Linked DNA regions of Arabidopsis thaliana. The protein of the gene in region 2 interacts with the protein of the main gene of each other region in a pairwise test. Each region holds a gene or a part of one and is shown on either strand. Other genes may lie near its edges.

What was found. Proteins that work in one complex are often made in the same cells at the same time.
Region 1: the proteins of AT5G15880 (region 2) and PLDALPHA1 interact in a protein complementation assay, tested with the Arabidopsis thaliana proteins (one large-scale study listed by BioGRID).

The regions. Positions count from the first base shown.
Region 1 is NC_003074.8:5,326,768-5,335,946, reverse strand, and holds PLDALPHA1 (phospholipase D alpha 1), read right to left. Parts: upstream 5,754-9,179; 5' UTR 5,528-5,753; intron 5,121-5,527; 5' UTR 5,113-5,120; coding exon 5,017-5,112; intron 4,894-5,016; coding exon 2,991-4,893; intron 2,907-2,990; coding exon 2,473-2,906; 3' UTR 2,202-2,472; downstream 1-2,201. Other genes in the region: AT3G15750 (Essential protein Yae1, N-terminal), read right to left, coding at 1-69, 161-282, 358-452, 662-721, 843-858; AT3G15740 (RING/U-box superfamily protein), read left to right, coding at 1,394-2,068; AT3G15720 (Pectin lyase-like superfamily protein), read left to right, coding at 8,490-8,612, 8,708-8,842, 8,934-9,092. UniProt on the Arabidopsis thaliana protein: Hydrolyzes glycerol-phospholipids at the terminal phosphodiesteric bond to generate phosphatidic acids (PA).
Region 2 is NC_003076.8:5,182,123-5,189,523, reverse strand, and holds AT5G15880 (golgin family A protein), read right to left. Parts: upstream 3,874-7,401; 5' UTR 3,737-3,873; coding exon 3,452-3,736; intron 3,321-3,451; coding exon 3,198-3,320; intron 3,094-3,197; coding exon 2,905-3,093; intron 2,813-2,904; coding exon 2,731-2,812; intron 2,507-2,730; coding exon 2,442-2,506; intron 2,366-2,441; coding exon 2,063-2,365; 3' UTR 1,838-2,062; downstream 1-1,837. Other genes in the region: TBL21 (TRICHOME BIREFRINGENCE-LIKE 21), read left to right, coding at 176-1,006, 1,088-1,837; AT5G15870 (glycosyl hydrolase family 81 protein), read left to right, coding at 4,646-6,883.

The DNA of each region.
Region 1 (9,179 bases), on a different chromosome or scaffold from region 2:
AACTTCTCTCTAGTTTCTTGTTTATCGATAAGCTTTTCTCTAAGCTCATCCGGGAGGAAAGCCAACGCACTTCAAAAAGAGTCAAAAACAGAAAATGTATAACTTACTACTCGATAAGCTTCATCGGATATGTAACACATCGCAACAGACTTGTAATTACCTGGAAACACCTCTAACAAGACCAAACTGGTAACCATTAAGAACTGATTCCTTATAGCCAAAGTTATAACCTTCCTGCGCAATAGCTTCTTTCCCGGCAACAATCCCATCACGATATCCAGCCTACGATTTCAATTTACCATTAAAAAAAGCATTTTAGACACAGAGATGAGAGAATGATCAAGTAAGAAAGAATACCGAGTGGAATTTCACACGTCTCTGCTTATTCTCATTGCCCAACACGCGAGCTTCACTATAGTCTTCTTCATCTGAACTTCCGTAAAAGGGATCATCTAAATTCTAAAGAACATGATTATTATTACCTAAACCAAGAATATGATTCTTATCAGAGAGATGTGGGAATCCAAAACCTTAGAAATACAAGCTCTAAGCCTAAACACAAGACCTCAGCTAAACTATGAGAACAAATTTGTAAGAGTTTTCATCAGAAAAGTAAAAACTTTGTCAATTGCATAATATATGAAGGGCAAAGAGTCCTCACCATGCTTCGAAAGCTGTACACTTTCTCCATAAAGCTCTTTGGCCAAATTATCCTTCACATCTGTAAATCATTAAGAAACAAAGTTTTCAAGGTAATTATATTTGGGTGGGGAATATCATCGAACATCTGGTGGGCGATTTATGAAACTTATGAAATAATAATTGGTATCATAGAAAGGAACCTTCATGCGGCTCCATCAGTTCTAGACGTCCACGATAAAAGGTTTGAGCAAAGAAGATCTCGAGAGTAAAGAAGAACAATGAGGATCGTCGATGGCCACAACTTCTACGAAATGATATTTACAAAAAGATCTGAGATATCGGGACCTTGATTCGGAATCCACCTGAGTATTTTTGTAAAATAGGGAAATAAGGAAAGTAGTTATTATTAAATATCCTCAAAAAATATTATTGGTTAATACTTTATTTACTTTCATATTATAAATAATATTCGGTATTTTTTATTAAAAGGAAAATTTCCCAAGTTAAACGGAAATTGAGGAGTGGGATATATAACACGAGTGTTTGGCTCAGCCTTGTTACGAAACTTTAGCGATCTCCTTCTTTGATCATCTGATCTCTCTTCCTCTCAGCAAGATAAAAGCAAAAGCAAACTTTCCTTTTTTCAGGTTTTTGCCGTTAACTCAAAATTGCCTCATCTTTCTCTAATCTCTCTATATTAGAACCCTAAACCCACAGCAAATAATCAAACCCATCTTCTTCCAACAAAATCATGGCTTTCTATGTAAACGATAACGTAGACAACGTGATCGATGTCAAGCGGATCTACAACGACTACGACGGAGAACTACGAAAGAGCCAAAAATTGTTTTTCGATTTCAAAGTGCATTACACTCGTGCCGAAGAAGAAGATGATGACGTTGAAGAAGAAGAAGATTTTCCCGATTTTGACAATCTTCAAACTCTAACCCTTGAGCAAACACACGAGTTTGATCGAGATTGGTTGTTTGGTGGAGACGGTGATCATTCACTAGCCATCGTCTATCACATTCTAGATTCGCTCCAAGTCCCTCCTTATTCTGCTATTGTTAACACTCTTGCTGATGAGATTAAGGATTTGAAGAAAGATGGTGCGAAAGACGTGGAGAGGGTACAAGTAAAGATAGGTGTTACTGTCTCGAGGTTTCCCGGTGAAGATGATCACGTAGATGTGCAAGTGCAACTTGCGGTTGCTCCAGCGAACGATGAGGCGGTGGAGATGCACTTGGAGACGCTTGTTGTTGAGAATGAAGGCTATTGTGTGATATGCATGGATAATATCCGAGTTGGGTCAGATGTGGAAGCGGGTCGAATGCCGTGTTCGCATGTGTTTCATCGTACTTGTGGAGAGGAATGGCTTAGGAACAGTGGGATTTGTCCGGTGTGTCGTGCCCTGTTTCCGGCTTAAAACTTTAAAACCCCTTTTGTATTAGTTTTGTGCTATATGAACCCTAGTTTCATGCTTTATCTCTAGATTGTCACTTTCACTTTTCTAATGAAGTATGTTTTACCTAGTTCATTGCTATTTTTGTTTAAACTTTGATGTGAAACACACTAAATAAAAAGAAAAGGATCAGATATAAGATTCATAAGTCCAAAGGTACATAACAACAACAAAACAAGATCACAAAGCTACATTCTCTCACCACGTCATTGTACGAATATAAAAACCAAAGGGGTAAAGAAGTGCATCATCATAACAACCATTTGACTTCTTAATTCTAAAGGTAGACACTCAAGTTTTATTCAAAGCTACAACAGCAGCAAAGCAGAGAGGGAGAGAGAGATCATTACTTGACATGCTTAGTGAGATTAGGTTGTAAGGATTGGAGGCAGGTAGTCTGATTTGGTGCCGAGGATACGGGCCTTTGTGTCCGGGAAGAATTCAAATCCTGGAAGCTCAGTGATGTCGCCTTCGCTGGCTACACCGATCGGGTAGCGGAGCAAGTGACCAGGAAGGTCATGTTCGAGTGACTCACTTGAGTAAAAGTCCCAATACTTGTCAGAAATGCGGTTAACTTTCTCAATGCATTCCAAGCTTGATGGATCGAGGAAGGTTTCATCGAGCATTCCCAGGTGTTCGTACCAGAGTGACATACGAAACCCATGGATCTGGCCACGAGCTGGTTGTCTATGGGACAAGTGATGTGGTTGATAACCTCCCATTGCTATCTCAGAGTCTCTTGCACCGTCCATTGACCTCTGGTTGATGTTAGCAGACCCAATGATAATGTATTCATCGTCAACTGCAAAATGGATTTCATCAAATGAATCAGGCACAACATTTATGTATACTTCTCAAGTTTTTTTCCGTTGAAATGTGAACTTACCGATCATCATTTTGGTGTGGACGTAAATCATGAAACGGCGTGCTTCTTGCGCCCTCATGTAATCAGTGTCGGGGTCTGGTTTCTCAGCAGGCTCATACTCTCCATCTTTCTTGACCTCACGGTTTCCAAGACAGAAGAATGTCAGATAGTTTCTTGGATCTTCCTCAAGACCCTGGGCCCTGAGAGCCTGAATCACATCCTTGTACATCATCTCCATGGTCCTCCTCTGCCAGTCTAATATAGCTTGCACTGATCCACTCTCTGGGAGACCTTCTGGCCACATTGGAACCACAACATAGACCCTGAACTTCTCTCCTTTCTCAATCTTGCTAACTATCTTCAGCGACAACTCTTTTGGGATTAAGTGCAGGGCATTGATGTCCTCAGGAGTAATACCATCGGCTGCCCAAGCAAAAGAACTCCCAAGGAAGTACTGGTTTTCAACGTAGATGAAATCCTTAGCACGTCTGATTGCATGAATGTAAGCATCTTGGATACTCCTATCAATGATGTTATCTTTCCCACTTACAAGCCCGGCTTCCGCAGCAGCTTCAGGCGACTCGGGAAACCCAGCAGCAGCTCCTCCATCAATGGACCTAAACAATTGGACATTCCACACATCGTGGTCCTCTTGGAACATAACAGGAGAAGGGGTGATAATAATATCACTAAGATCTCTCAACTTAACCAGAATGTCTTTACCACCCTGCTTGCTCCATCTCTGCTCGAAGTTGTACATGACATCCCAAGCAATTGGACCTTCAAGACGGGAGTGAATGTCATGCCAAGGCTCCCTTGGACCACCTTTAGTGATAGCAGCACCAGTGAAGTTAGGTTGATGGAAGTCATCATGGTGGACTGTGTCCAATGTCCTGAACAAGGAGTGGAACGGAGTGTCGTATCTTCCATCACAAAGATCAATACCGCCAACAAAACTCACAATTCTCCTCATTTCTGATCCTCCTCTGCTTGGCATCTCGCTGTCCACAACAACGATTTTCTGATGATGCGTGAACATAGTAGAGATCTGCAAACTTTGGACTATGCTACCACCGTCATCCGGGTTACGAGGGCACAGAATACAATGGACATCACTTCCCCTGAAGAAATTCTCGGTCTCTTCATCATGAGTAGCCATGAGCCCATCTTTCTTCAGCACATCAACAGAAGTTCTGTCATCCCAAACAAGCAAAAGAACCCTGACACCTTCACTAGCCTTCTTCTTGAGTAGCTCACCAATGGTCACATCACCTCCAGGCTTAGGCCTCCTCGAGTCCCTCACTAAAGCAATCTCAGCGTAAACAGACCAACCAGTAATGTAGATCAAGTGTTTTGCATTGCTAATAGCATCAAAAATATCCTCCCAACATCTTTGAGGCTCATAGTTCTTCCCTCCAGCGAGAGGAATTCTAGGGACAAAGTTGTCTGGAATATGAGCATCTTGGTACAGAGAAACTTTGCAGCCTTGTCTCTGCGAGAAGAATGTGTATGGCACTCCAGGGAACTTGGCACTTTTGATACCCATGTTCCAGTTACGATCCTCCTCAACATGGAAATATTGAAGCTTGACATGAATCTTTGATCCTCCCTGAATAGGGTTTCTGTCATTATCCAAGATCTCAACCCACTGATCCACTTCCTCGCCGTTAATGACTTGATCAACAGGAATGTAAGCTCTTCCGATAAGGGTAGCTCCAATGGGATTATCATCTTTAACAGTGAAGATGATATCAGAAGCCAAGTGAGCACAGTAAATATGAAACGACTCATACCACTTTGGGTTCTTAGGTTCATTTTTGATCTTCCTGGTTCTCCCAACTCTAGCTTTTTGCAGATCAATCGTCGCATACAACTGTGTTTCTCCTTTACCAACACCAATCGTCTCTTCTACATTTGCCAGAATCTGAAAGTTTCATCAGAAAAATAAAGATCAAACTGTGTATTAGTCCACAGACTAATTTGAACTACAAAATAAGACGTCAGGATTGGCGCAAAAATGATGCAATAACAATGGATCTTATTATACCTTGCCAAGGAAGCCTTGCCTAACACCACCACCATGGAGGGCATCAACTTCATAGATGGTAGCATGTAAAGTCCCGTGCAACAGATGCTGCGCCATTTTTTCACCTTTAGCAATAAGAATTGACCAGAACACAATATTAGTTTCTGAAAAAACTAAAAAAAAAGAAAAGCGAGATCTACGAATCTCAAAGATCTGGTATCAAAATTTTAGAGCAGCTAAATTTTCGCAGTATTGTCCTAAAAACAAGGAACACTAGTTGAATAGTGAAACTAAAGTCACTGATCTAACTCAAAACTAAAGATCGTATCAGTGTAACACTAGAGGACAATAGCAAATGAACCCGATCGTTGATTATCCAAAAAGAAAAAAAAAAAAGTCAGCGAGTTCCACTTATCTCACAAAACAAAGAACCACCTAAATGATCAAACGAGTTTTAATCGCAAAACAAGTAAAGAGAAACATAAAGATAAAATGAATGAGATTCATAGAGATGAAGTAGAGAAATACTAACTTCGAATTATTCCCAGAAACTGAGATCTGATCGGAGAAACTCAATCGTTCGGTGGTCAGAAGAAGAATTCGGGATCTGGTCCGTGATGGAAGCTCTTTAAGAGCTACTTTGTGGAGCTGCTGTAATTTAATTGGAGCGTGTGGGGCCACTTTTTCATTATTTTCTACAGATCTTTGATGATTTAATAGTGACCCAACGTACGAATTGTTATTAGTTTCAGCCCTACACGTTTTTAGTTTCACAATTAGGCCCTAAATAGTTACTCTCAAGAGATTCCTTTCAATTTATAACTTATAATATATAGTTAATGTTACTAGATAACGATATAATTGTGGTTGGATTATGTTATCTCACATCCTAATAGTAATATTTTACGTTACATCTAAAATTATATAATAGAGTGAAAAAGATAAAATGGAAAGTTTAGTGACTAATTGAAAATCTTGAAAAGTTTTAAGAAGGCCGACATAAAAAAAGGAAATAAATATTCAAAGTTGTAATAAAATCCCTGACTTGAGGATAGGGGAGACAAAAAAAAAAAAGAGATATCCAAATCGTGCGCCCGACGTTCTGCATCCAAACGTTACGACATCGTTTCCCAAGCTGAATCCTCACCGTCCATCACAAGAAAACTATATGGTGTACTTTTCTCAAGTAGTACGTGTTCGCATAATGACATGAATTCACTAGCAATAATTTAATTGCTTCATCATTGGATCTCACACATCTTCGCTATAAGATTGGGTAGTTTTTTTTTTCGTTTTTTTTGGGTAAAGAAGAATGTGATAGTTGTATAAAATATTACTCCTCATAAACGGAACGTGGCCACATGGGGATTATACAATGTATTTGCATTCTCTGGTATCTAATAAGTTCTAATGTACTAACCATCAGCAAAACCGTCAATCATAAAAATGCGGTGAAGAACAGATCAGAGGTGTCTCATATATGGGGATCAAAGGGAAAATTAAGACAGTATTGGCAACTCGGCGTAATGCTAAATTGTAACACAATGGTAGGATACAAGGGAGCTTATTTTGGAGCTTATTCCCCTATCTATGTTTATTATTTAGCAATGCTCACGGCAAGGTTTCTGATACGCAGCCACCGCTCACCGGTGACTTGTCTGAAAAATCTGGACTTAAAATAACCCAATTCCTTTGTTTTGCTTCTATATTAGCTTATTTTAGAAAATAGGACTTTTGAATTTTAGTTGACCCAAGGAAAAAATGAAGAAGGGACGTAGAAACTAGAAATTTAGGTGCTATTGATATTTGAATATGGGCCATAATTGGGCCTGGTGATTTAACATTCTGTACACGTATTTAGGCCTGTATCTTGGAATGATTTTTTTTTTTTGTGGTAGGGTAAAACTTGGAATGAAATTTAGGTGCACCTATTGATATTGTCCGACTGTCTGAACTGAATTTGATAAGTAGTACGTGAATCTTTAACTGTTTAGTAGGAAAAAAAAGAAAAAAAATCAAAAGAATATTACTATAATTAAACTACAATAAGTACATAATTAGTTTTTTTTTTTTTCTTATAAGCAAAAAGAAAAAAGCTAAAATAGAAAACCCAAAAGCGAAGCCGAAGAAAAGAAACTAAAAGCGAATCATGAAAGTCAAAAATAGACAGAAAAGATAAGAACATCTCCATCAGTAGTCTCTAGTATGGTTTTTCACTAACTAAAAAATATAAAATAATAATAAAGTAGGAGAGAGAGAAAAGTAAATAATAGGTTACATTTTAATAGGTTAAATTATTATTTTCAGAATAATTATTTAAGTAAATAATAATATTATATGATAATAATTAAAAAACAATATTTTAAGATAATCCACCTAATTTTACCGTTGAAGATGGCCTAAGAAGCAAACACAAGTTTCTTCGGATAGATTATATAAATGTTTTTTGGCTCAACATCTTCTTCAAACTAAAAGTTTGAAAGGAATTACTAATTAGTTATACGATCCGGTTTATCAATCACAACAGATAACCGTCGTCATATAAAACCAAGGAACTAGAATCGGGAAAGCGTAATGATATGAGCTACTTTATTCGCTGCCCGTTCACAAGTTCTAGGTCTGCAAACCAATAAACTTTGTCATTCACTGCTCTCTAGGTCTGAAAACCAATAAACTTTGTCACTCGCTTACATAATTTACAAGTTTCTAGGACTGAAAACCAATAAACTTTTGTCAAAAGAAGACAAATTTAGCATGATATCTTTTTGCTAGGATTGAACATGTCACACTCGAGTATCATGTAATCAAATCCGTGGACCACTTCTCTCAAGTAGGATTCAAAAATGATATCTCAAATAACACCTTTTTAATATGCATTCAAAATATCAATTCAGATTATTTTGTAGATTTAAGTTTTTGTTGAGTGGACGGAGACTATCATATAAATCGCGGCATATACACTATGTGTTTAATGTACAGCTGATTATAACCTCTCTTTTTTTACCTATGTTATATAATTGCAGATATTTGACATTTCCTTGAAAATCAAACGAAGTTAAGGGAAATGGAACCAAAAAACATCTTTAAAAAATGGAACCAAAAAACATGAAGACACATTTATTTAATATTGTAACAGATAATACAATGCTACGTACTTTTAGGAGAACCTTTTTTTATTTTTAATTAATACAGTGCCCACTCTGACGCCTCATGGGCACTGGTAATAAATATGAGATTTGATAGTTACTACATCATTATTTTGTTAAGAAATTGTATATTCGTGTATCCATTTTCTTCACATTGTCTTCCCCTGTCCCACAAATATCCGCTGAACATGGTAAAGTCCTTTAGCATCTTCTTTTCTATGTACATATGTATCTTATGTAAGTAGTATAATATAGTAGCTAGTGTAGTAAAGCCTTCGCTTCAACAACATTTTTTCTTTAGTCGTAAACATATTCATTCATGATTTTAACGCTTTTTCTTCAAAATATATGAAGAAGAAGACTTGGTTCTTGAATTTCTCACTGTTCTTTCTTCAAATCTTCACATCTTCGAATGCATTGGATGTTACTCAATTCGGAGCGGTTGGAGATGGAGTTACAGACGATTCACAGGTAAAAACTAAGTTCTGTAGTTGTCATTTGTCCATTATAATCCGAAAAAGTTCCTAAAATATCAAAGTTTTTTCCTGGAATTAAAAAAACAAAAGGCGTTCTTGAAAGCTTGGGAAGCTGTGTGTAGCGGAACAGGAGATGGGCAGTTTGTCGTTCCGGCAGGGATGACATTTATGTTACAGCCCCTGAAGTTTCAAGGGTCTTGCAAATCCACCCCTGTTTTTGTTCAGGTACTCTGTTTTTCCCCTGTTTTTTTTTTCCTTGGATATTAATGACGAATATTTTGAAGTAAGTAATTACTAGTTTGTAATTTAATTGAAGATGTTAGGCAAGCTGGTTGCACCGAGTAAAGGAAATTGGAAAGGGGACAAAGATCAATGGATTCTTTTTACAGACATTGAAGGACTTGTGATTGAAGGTGACGGTGAAATTAACGGCCAGGGTTCGAGCTGGTGGGAACACAAAGGCTCTAGACCTACCGTGAGTATCACGTTAGCTGTTTGTTTTCCCAAAACATTGATTCGTTTTGTATGCAGTTTTAGCTAAATTAAAAACAAGATAATTATG
Region 2 (7,401 bases):
TGACCAAGCTAAATCAAGTTTTTTGACTTTCTGTCTCCCTCAGGTTTATTTATTATATTTCAGGAAATGGTCAAATGTTGTGCCTAGTTATTGGATGACCACGAGCTCACCATTATTCACCATATATACATACATATTTATGACAAGACCAGACACCATTGTCTTGAAGCAGACAATGGAGCTTCCTTTGTTTGCAATCCTTCAAAGAACACCAAGAGTTGCAATTACATTAGCATTTGTTCTATTTGTCCTCACAATAGTTCCTGCTTTATATACTCTCCTTGCCGATCCAATCTTACCTCCATCAATCTCATCTTTCGAGACTGATCATACACGTCTCAGTCATTTGAATTCTTCATCAAATCAGATTCCTTCACCCGTGAATGGTTCCATTCCCACGCCACCCTACCATACGCCTTCAAAACATCGGAAGTCTTCTTTCCATCGGATTCCTAAACCCAAGAAAGGTCCCATTTCCTCTCCAACCGATCATATACCTTTAAGACAACGGAGTTCTTCATTCGATCAGATTCCTTCACCCATGAATAGTCCCGTTCCCGCTCCACCACATCGGAATTCTTCAGCTGATCAGAGTCCTTCACCTGTGAACGGTCCCATTCCCGCTCCACTCAATCACACGTCCTTAAGACATCTGAATTCTTCATCTGATGATCATTCATCCCCAGTCACCACATCACCATCAAGGACGCGGATCAGAGATGATGAGCAAATGTGTGACCTTTTTACCGGGGAGTGGGTACCAAACGAAGAAGCTCCATACTACACCAACACGACATGCTGGGCAATACATGAGCACCAGAACTGCATGAAATATGGGAGACCTGATACCGGATTCATGAGATGGAGGTGGAAGCCGGAGAGTTGCGACCTTCCCATCTTTGATCCTCAAGAGTTCTTGGAAATGGTTAGAGGGAAAGCCATGGGGTTTGTTGGTGACTCCATTAGCAGAAACCAAGTCCAATCTCTCTTGTGCCTTCTCTCTAGGGTAAAAATCCAAACTAATTGTCAATGATCACCAGCGAACCACCATCTCTCTAATGTGTTGACTTTTTTTATTTCCTTGTAGGTGGAATACCCTGAAGACATTTCTCCTTCACCAGATACGGATTTCAAAGTATGGAACTACACATCCTATAACTTCACTCTTCATGTCATGTGGTCACCATTTCTAGTGAAGGCTACTAAACCTGATCCGAAGTCCAACTTCTTCAGCCTATACCTCGACGAATATGACACGAAGTGGACGAGTCAGCTCGACCAACTCGACTACCTGGTTATATCATCCGGCCACTGGTTTTCCCGGCCGGTTATTTTCTATGAAAACCAACAAATCTCTGGGTGCCAATACTGTGCGTTACCAAACACGACTGAATTGCCTTTGACCTATGGATACAGGAAGGCTTTAAGAATATCTCTAAAAGCTATAATCGAGAATTTCAAGGGTCTGGCATTTTTAAGGAGTTTTTCTCCTCAACATTTCGAAGGTGGGGCTTGGAACGAAGGAGGGGACTGTGTACGGACACAACCTTACAGAAGAAACGAGACTATACCCGAGGCAGATCTCAAGGTTCACGACATTCAAAGGGAGGAATTTAGAGCTGCAGAAGAAGATGGGATGAAGAAGAGTGGTTTGAGACTGAAGTTAATGGACACGACACAGGCAATGCTATTGCGACCAGATGGGCATCCTGGGAGATATGGACATCTACAGAATCCAAATGTGACTTTAAGAAATGACTGTATTCATTGGTGCCTGCCTGGACCTATCGATACTCTGAATGATATATTGCTACAAATGATGAAGACAGATAACTAGAAAGCATCCCTCAAGAATGAGTAGTGGAGACATATATCTAATATCAAGAAAAATTGTAAAGAAAGATTCATGTAGGAGTCTCAGTATTCAATTGCCATATATCCATATGGAAGGACAGAAAACCATTTGACAACAATTATTGTATTCCTATAAATTTTTATATGCAGTATTTTGACTCCCTTGCGCAAACTAAAAGCAGAACAGACTACTCGTGTACACAACTTCTCAAAAGGAAATTCTGATGAAAACCAGGACTTGCAAAGCCAAAATGTAGACGACAAAAGCTGACCTGAGATACATAAGCCTTGTTTGGGTCCCATTTCTTGTAGCAGATGAATATGGAAGGTAGGAATGACCATCAACTTCGTGGTCTGATGTAAATTCTCTATCTGAATTTGTTCTCTTGAATCTGTTCCTCGCAGCGTTCCCTTCAACGTTAAAGCTTTCATATCTTCTCCATAAATTGTTTAGTCTCTCTAACTCCATCTCATTTAGATGAATCTCACCAACAATCCCCTCTGCTTGTGCCTGATAAGCATATCAAAGTTTCTGTTAAGAAACAGTCTAAAGGGAAAAGTGTAGATTAATTTGGGTTGTGATGGACCTGCTTTGCAGCTAATTGCTCGATTAGGCTATGAAGTTGTTTATCCAGTGTCTTCTCTCTCTGAGCTGTGAAAGAAAAACCTTTCCAGTCAGATAATGTGAATGAAATTTTTCACGCTATCAACCTATCTAACGGAACCAAAAAACAGATCTCTATTGAATTCTTACTGAAAATAAGCTATGTAAAACAATTTTTTTTTTGTTTCATATATATTGAAGACGTGATGGTTCTGAATGGTGATAAAATAGTAATTTACTAACTAATCAGAATTGATGACAAAAAAAAGTACCTGGAGAAGGCTGCTTCAGTGCTCTTTCCTGTATAACAGCCCAACTCCTCTCTAAATCCTGAACTTTTTCTTCCATTAAACTCTAAATGGAAAATATAACTTACACTGCCATCAGATATACAGCCAAATCGACTATTCCAATCCATACCCATGAAACGTAAAATGAAAACTAACCATATCGTTCTTTTTGCTCTCCAACTTCTCTAGCATAAAGGACTTCATGGCCTCTGTATCTGCTCCATCTTTTCCATTCCCATCAGGCTGAATAACAGTTTCACTAGAGCTTTTGGACTGCCTTGCATCTAGAGAAGCTTGTGCATTATCCTGCTCAGTTTTCAAGTTTTCCTCTACAGCTTCTAGCTCCTGCAAACCATCTAATATCAGGCAGAACCCAAATGGTAACAGGACCAACATACATATCTGAACAAGATCACAGACAAGAAAAGAACAATTATCTGATAACTCACCTTCAACTTTCTAAGAAGAGAATCTGCTTCATTCCTCTTCTCTTCTATTTTTGTCTCACAGGTTGATATTGCATTCTCATATGCACTATTTTCTTCCAGCAGTGTCTGCTCTCTCATGTGTGCCTAGTTGCAATACCAAAAGAAGAACCATTAGGATCACTTCAACATCAGCCAAAGCCATATCCATTGAAGACTAATCCTATAACGCAAAAACACAATTCCCAAATCAGCTATAGTATTTCAATAACTCAAACCTGTTCACGAGTAGCGGAGTGCGAATCAAGCTGAAGAGTGAGAGCGGCATTGGACGCAAGGGAGTGAGCATGAAGGTCAGGTAGACGCTGGGAGATATCCGGTGGAGGCAATCTGAGCCGCAGATCTTGGATCGAACGGCTGAGGTTTGTCGCTTTTCGGCCAAGCTCATCGACGTATTTCTGCTGCTCCTCCGTGAAAACCAATGGGATCCGATCCTTCTCATCGTCTCCTTCTTTTCCATTTTTACCGACGACATCGGCAGCCCAAGCTAGAAGTCCGGCCATATCTCTTCTTCTTCTCCTTCTCCGTCTCCGTCTCTTTGATGTGACTCGCGGGACGATGGCAGAGCTAAACCGAAGCGGTTGGTGGTTGAACCGGCACGATTCGGTTATGTTAGTTGAATTCTCTTGTTGGTCCGGTTAACACTCAAAATGGCTTTTACTTTCTAGTATCCGTCTTATATATGGGCCTTAAGATAAGGCCTTGTCTATTAAACAAAAATAGTTTATGGGACTATGCTCAAATCTCGACCAAATCAAAATTTTACAAATTAATTCTTATACTAAGCAAAACATAAAGTTGTCATATATGCATTGAAAGCAGCATTATAAAATGACTTAAAATGGTAAAAGAAATAAAAAAAATATCCTGTCCTATGCCTATTTAATATGAGCCTTAAGAAATGTAATATGCATTACCGCGTGTTTGCAATTTACATTGCTTGCAATCAACCCTCTTCCTCCTTCTCTAAGCAAAACAACATCAAGTCACAAAGACCTCAAGCATTTTCCAAACCTATCCAACAAATTTGGAATTTTTTCAAATAACCAATCCAAACCAAACATGTAATACTCAATCACACAAAGTCACATACGAATTACGAACTAAGTTGTTTAACCAAATATTTTGTTGCAAGAATACAAATAACCTTAGAGAATTATTGTTATCCAACCATATTCGTACCGTTAATTTACATTTTTAATTTGGGCATATACCAATATCTTGTCTACGTTTTAGCATCTAGCAAGTCTCCTGCACGTTCCCAAAACCTTAACTTGTAAACCATCTTTTATTATATATTTACAAAATTTCCCTATCATTTTTCTTTCTAACCAAACAAACCCCACAATTTTGCTTTTTGTGAACCCAATTTCCAAATCCGTCGTTATCTCTTCTCCTCTTGACTAAGCAAAATGTTGAAAAAAGTGAGGCGAAAAGTCAAAGTCTTAATCACCAAACCCTTTAAAAAGCCCAAGAACAGACCTCCATCACCACCACCACCTCTTCCTCTTCCTCCTTCACCATCTCCACCACCGTCTCAACAAATGTCTTCCTCAAGACAAAAAAACACTCCGTTTCTCTTCCCAAGATCCGATTCCTCTGTTCTACCCGACCCGTCTCGTTTCTTCAGCCACGATCTCCTCTCATCTCCTCTCCCTACAAACTCTTTCTTCCAAAACTTCACTCTCAACAATGGCGACCAAGCTGAGTACTTTCATCCTTACATCATCAAACCCTCGACTTCATCTCTCTCCATCTCCTACCCATCTCTCTCCCACAACTCTGCTTTCATCTACGAAGCTTTCAACGCCGACATAACCATAACCGGGTCAGATGGACCCGACCCGCATTCTCGTAAATCTCATCTCATCTCTTCCTTCAGCGATCTCGGCGTCACTCTCGATTTCCCCTCCTCTAATCTCAGATTCTTCCTCGTTAGAGGAAGCCCTTTCATCACCTTCTCCGTTAACTCCTCCATCACAATCTCAACGATCCACGCTGTTTTATCACTTTCCGGTAACACCTCTTCAACAAAGTACACCGTCAAACTCAACAACAACCAAACATGGCTAATCTACGCCTCTTCTCCGATCAATCTAACCAAAGACGGCGTTTCTTCAATCAATTGCGGTGATGGGTTTTCGGGTATTATCCGGATCGTCGTGTTACCAAATCCAAATCCGTATTTCGAAACAATCCTCGACGGATTCAGTTGCTCTTACCCAGTTTCCGGTGACGCTGATTTCACAAAGCCGTTTGCTTTAGAGTATAAATGGGAGAAACGAGGCTATGGAGATCTTCTAATGCTAGCTCATCCTCTTCATCTCAAGCTTTTATCAACCAACGATTGTTCTATCACAGTTCTAGACAATTTCAAATACAACAGCATCGACGGTGATTTAGTAGGTGTCATCGGAGATTCATGGGTTTTAAAACCAGACCCTGTTTCTGTTACGTGGCACTCTATCAAAGGAGTTCAAGAAGATTCTCACCAAGAGATCATCTCTGCTCTAATCAAAGACGTTAACGCTTTAGATTCATCAGCTGAGGTCACCAACTCTTCGTATTTCTACGCGAAATTGATCGCGAGGGCGGCGAGGTTAGCTTTAATAGCTGAAGAAGTTTGTTATCTGGATGTTATTCCAAAGATTAGAACTTACTTGAAGAACATGATCGAGCCGTGGCTTAATGGAAGTTTCGGACCAAATGGTTTCTTGTATGATCCAAAATGGGGAGGTGTGATTACTAAGCTAGGATCTAGAGATTCAGGAGCAGATTTTGGGTTTGGGATTTACAATGATCATCATTATCATTTAGGTTACTTTGTTTATGCGATTGCTGTGCTTGCAAAGATTGATCCTTTATGGGGGAAGAGATACAGACCTCAAGCGTATACTTTAATGGCGGATTACTTGACGTTGGGGAAGAAAGGAGCCAAGTCGAATTCGAATTACCCGCGTTTGAGATGCTTTGATCTTTTCAAGCTTCATTCTTGGGCTGGAGGGTTAACGGAGTTCGCTGACGGGAGGAATCAAGAGAGTACAAGCGAGGCTGTCAATGCGTATTACTCCGCTGCTTTGTTGGGGCTAGCTTATGGGGATACACATTTGGTGGCGGCTGCTTCGATGGTTCTGACGCTGGAGATTCACGCGGCGAAAATGTGGTGGCAGGTGAAAGAAGACGACGCTATTTACCCGCAAGATTTCACATCGGAGAATCGTGTGGTTGGAGTGTTATGGTCAACAAAGAGAGACAGTGGCTTATGGTTCGCGCCTAAAGAGTGGAAAGAATGTCGCCTTGGGATACAGTTATTACCGTTACTTCCGGTATCAGAAGTTCTGTTCTCGGACGTGACATTCGTGAAACAGCTCGTGAATTGGACAATGCCTGCTTTGGCTAGAGACAGCGTCGGAGAAGGGTGGAAAGGATTTGTGTATGCTTTGGAAAGTATGTACGACAAAGATGGAGCAATGGAGAAGATTAAAGGATTAAATGGGTTTGATGATGGGAACTCTTTAAGTAATCTGTTGTGGTGGGTTCATAGTAGAAACAATGATGATGATGATGATTATGAAGAAGACGATGAAGGTGGTTATGGTGGTCATGGCGGTGGCGGGAAGTATTGTTCCTTTGGTCATTATTGTCATTAAGCTTTAATAAAAAGTTGTTTGCGTTTTGGTTTGTTATTAATCAATGTTAATTTTAGCTTGTTTTATATAATGAAGCTTCATATAATTGAAATGATTCGATGATCTTTTCAAATCCTTTCTTCTTAATTACACCAATGATCTCTCTATGAGAATATCCACATATATACAGAATTCTATATGTCTAAAGTATTATAAAGGGAAGAATCAGTCATGTGCATGTATGGTTTGTGTATCAAGTGAATTCTGTCATGATCTTGAAACTCCTTCTCCAGAGAAGCTAAGGCTGCTTCATAATCATTATGGTTGTTGATATGTTCCATTGCAAACTCATTCAGATATAATAGACATCCCTTGTCGTTATAAGGGCATATGATTGATTCTTCTTCTTCTAATGATCGTTTCGCAGATGCGAGAGGGATATATAATGATAAGATAAGTGTTACCGAAAGAACGTAGAGAGTAGTACATGGAAGCACAAATCTAGACGTCATGGTGTTTTTAATGCTTTTGAAGATTTC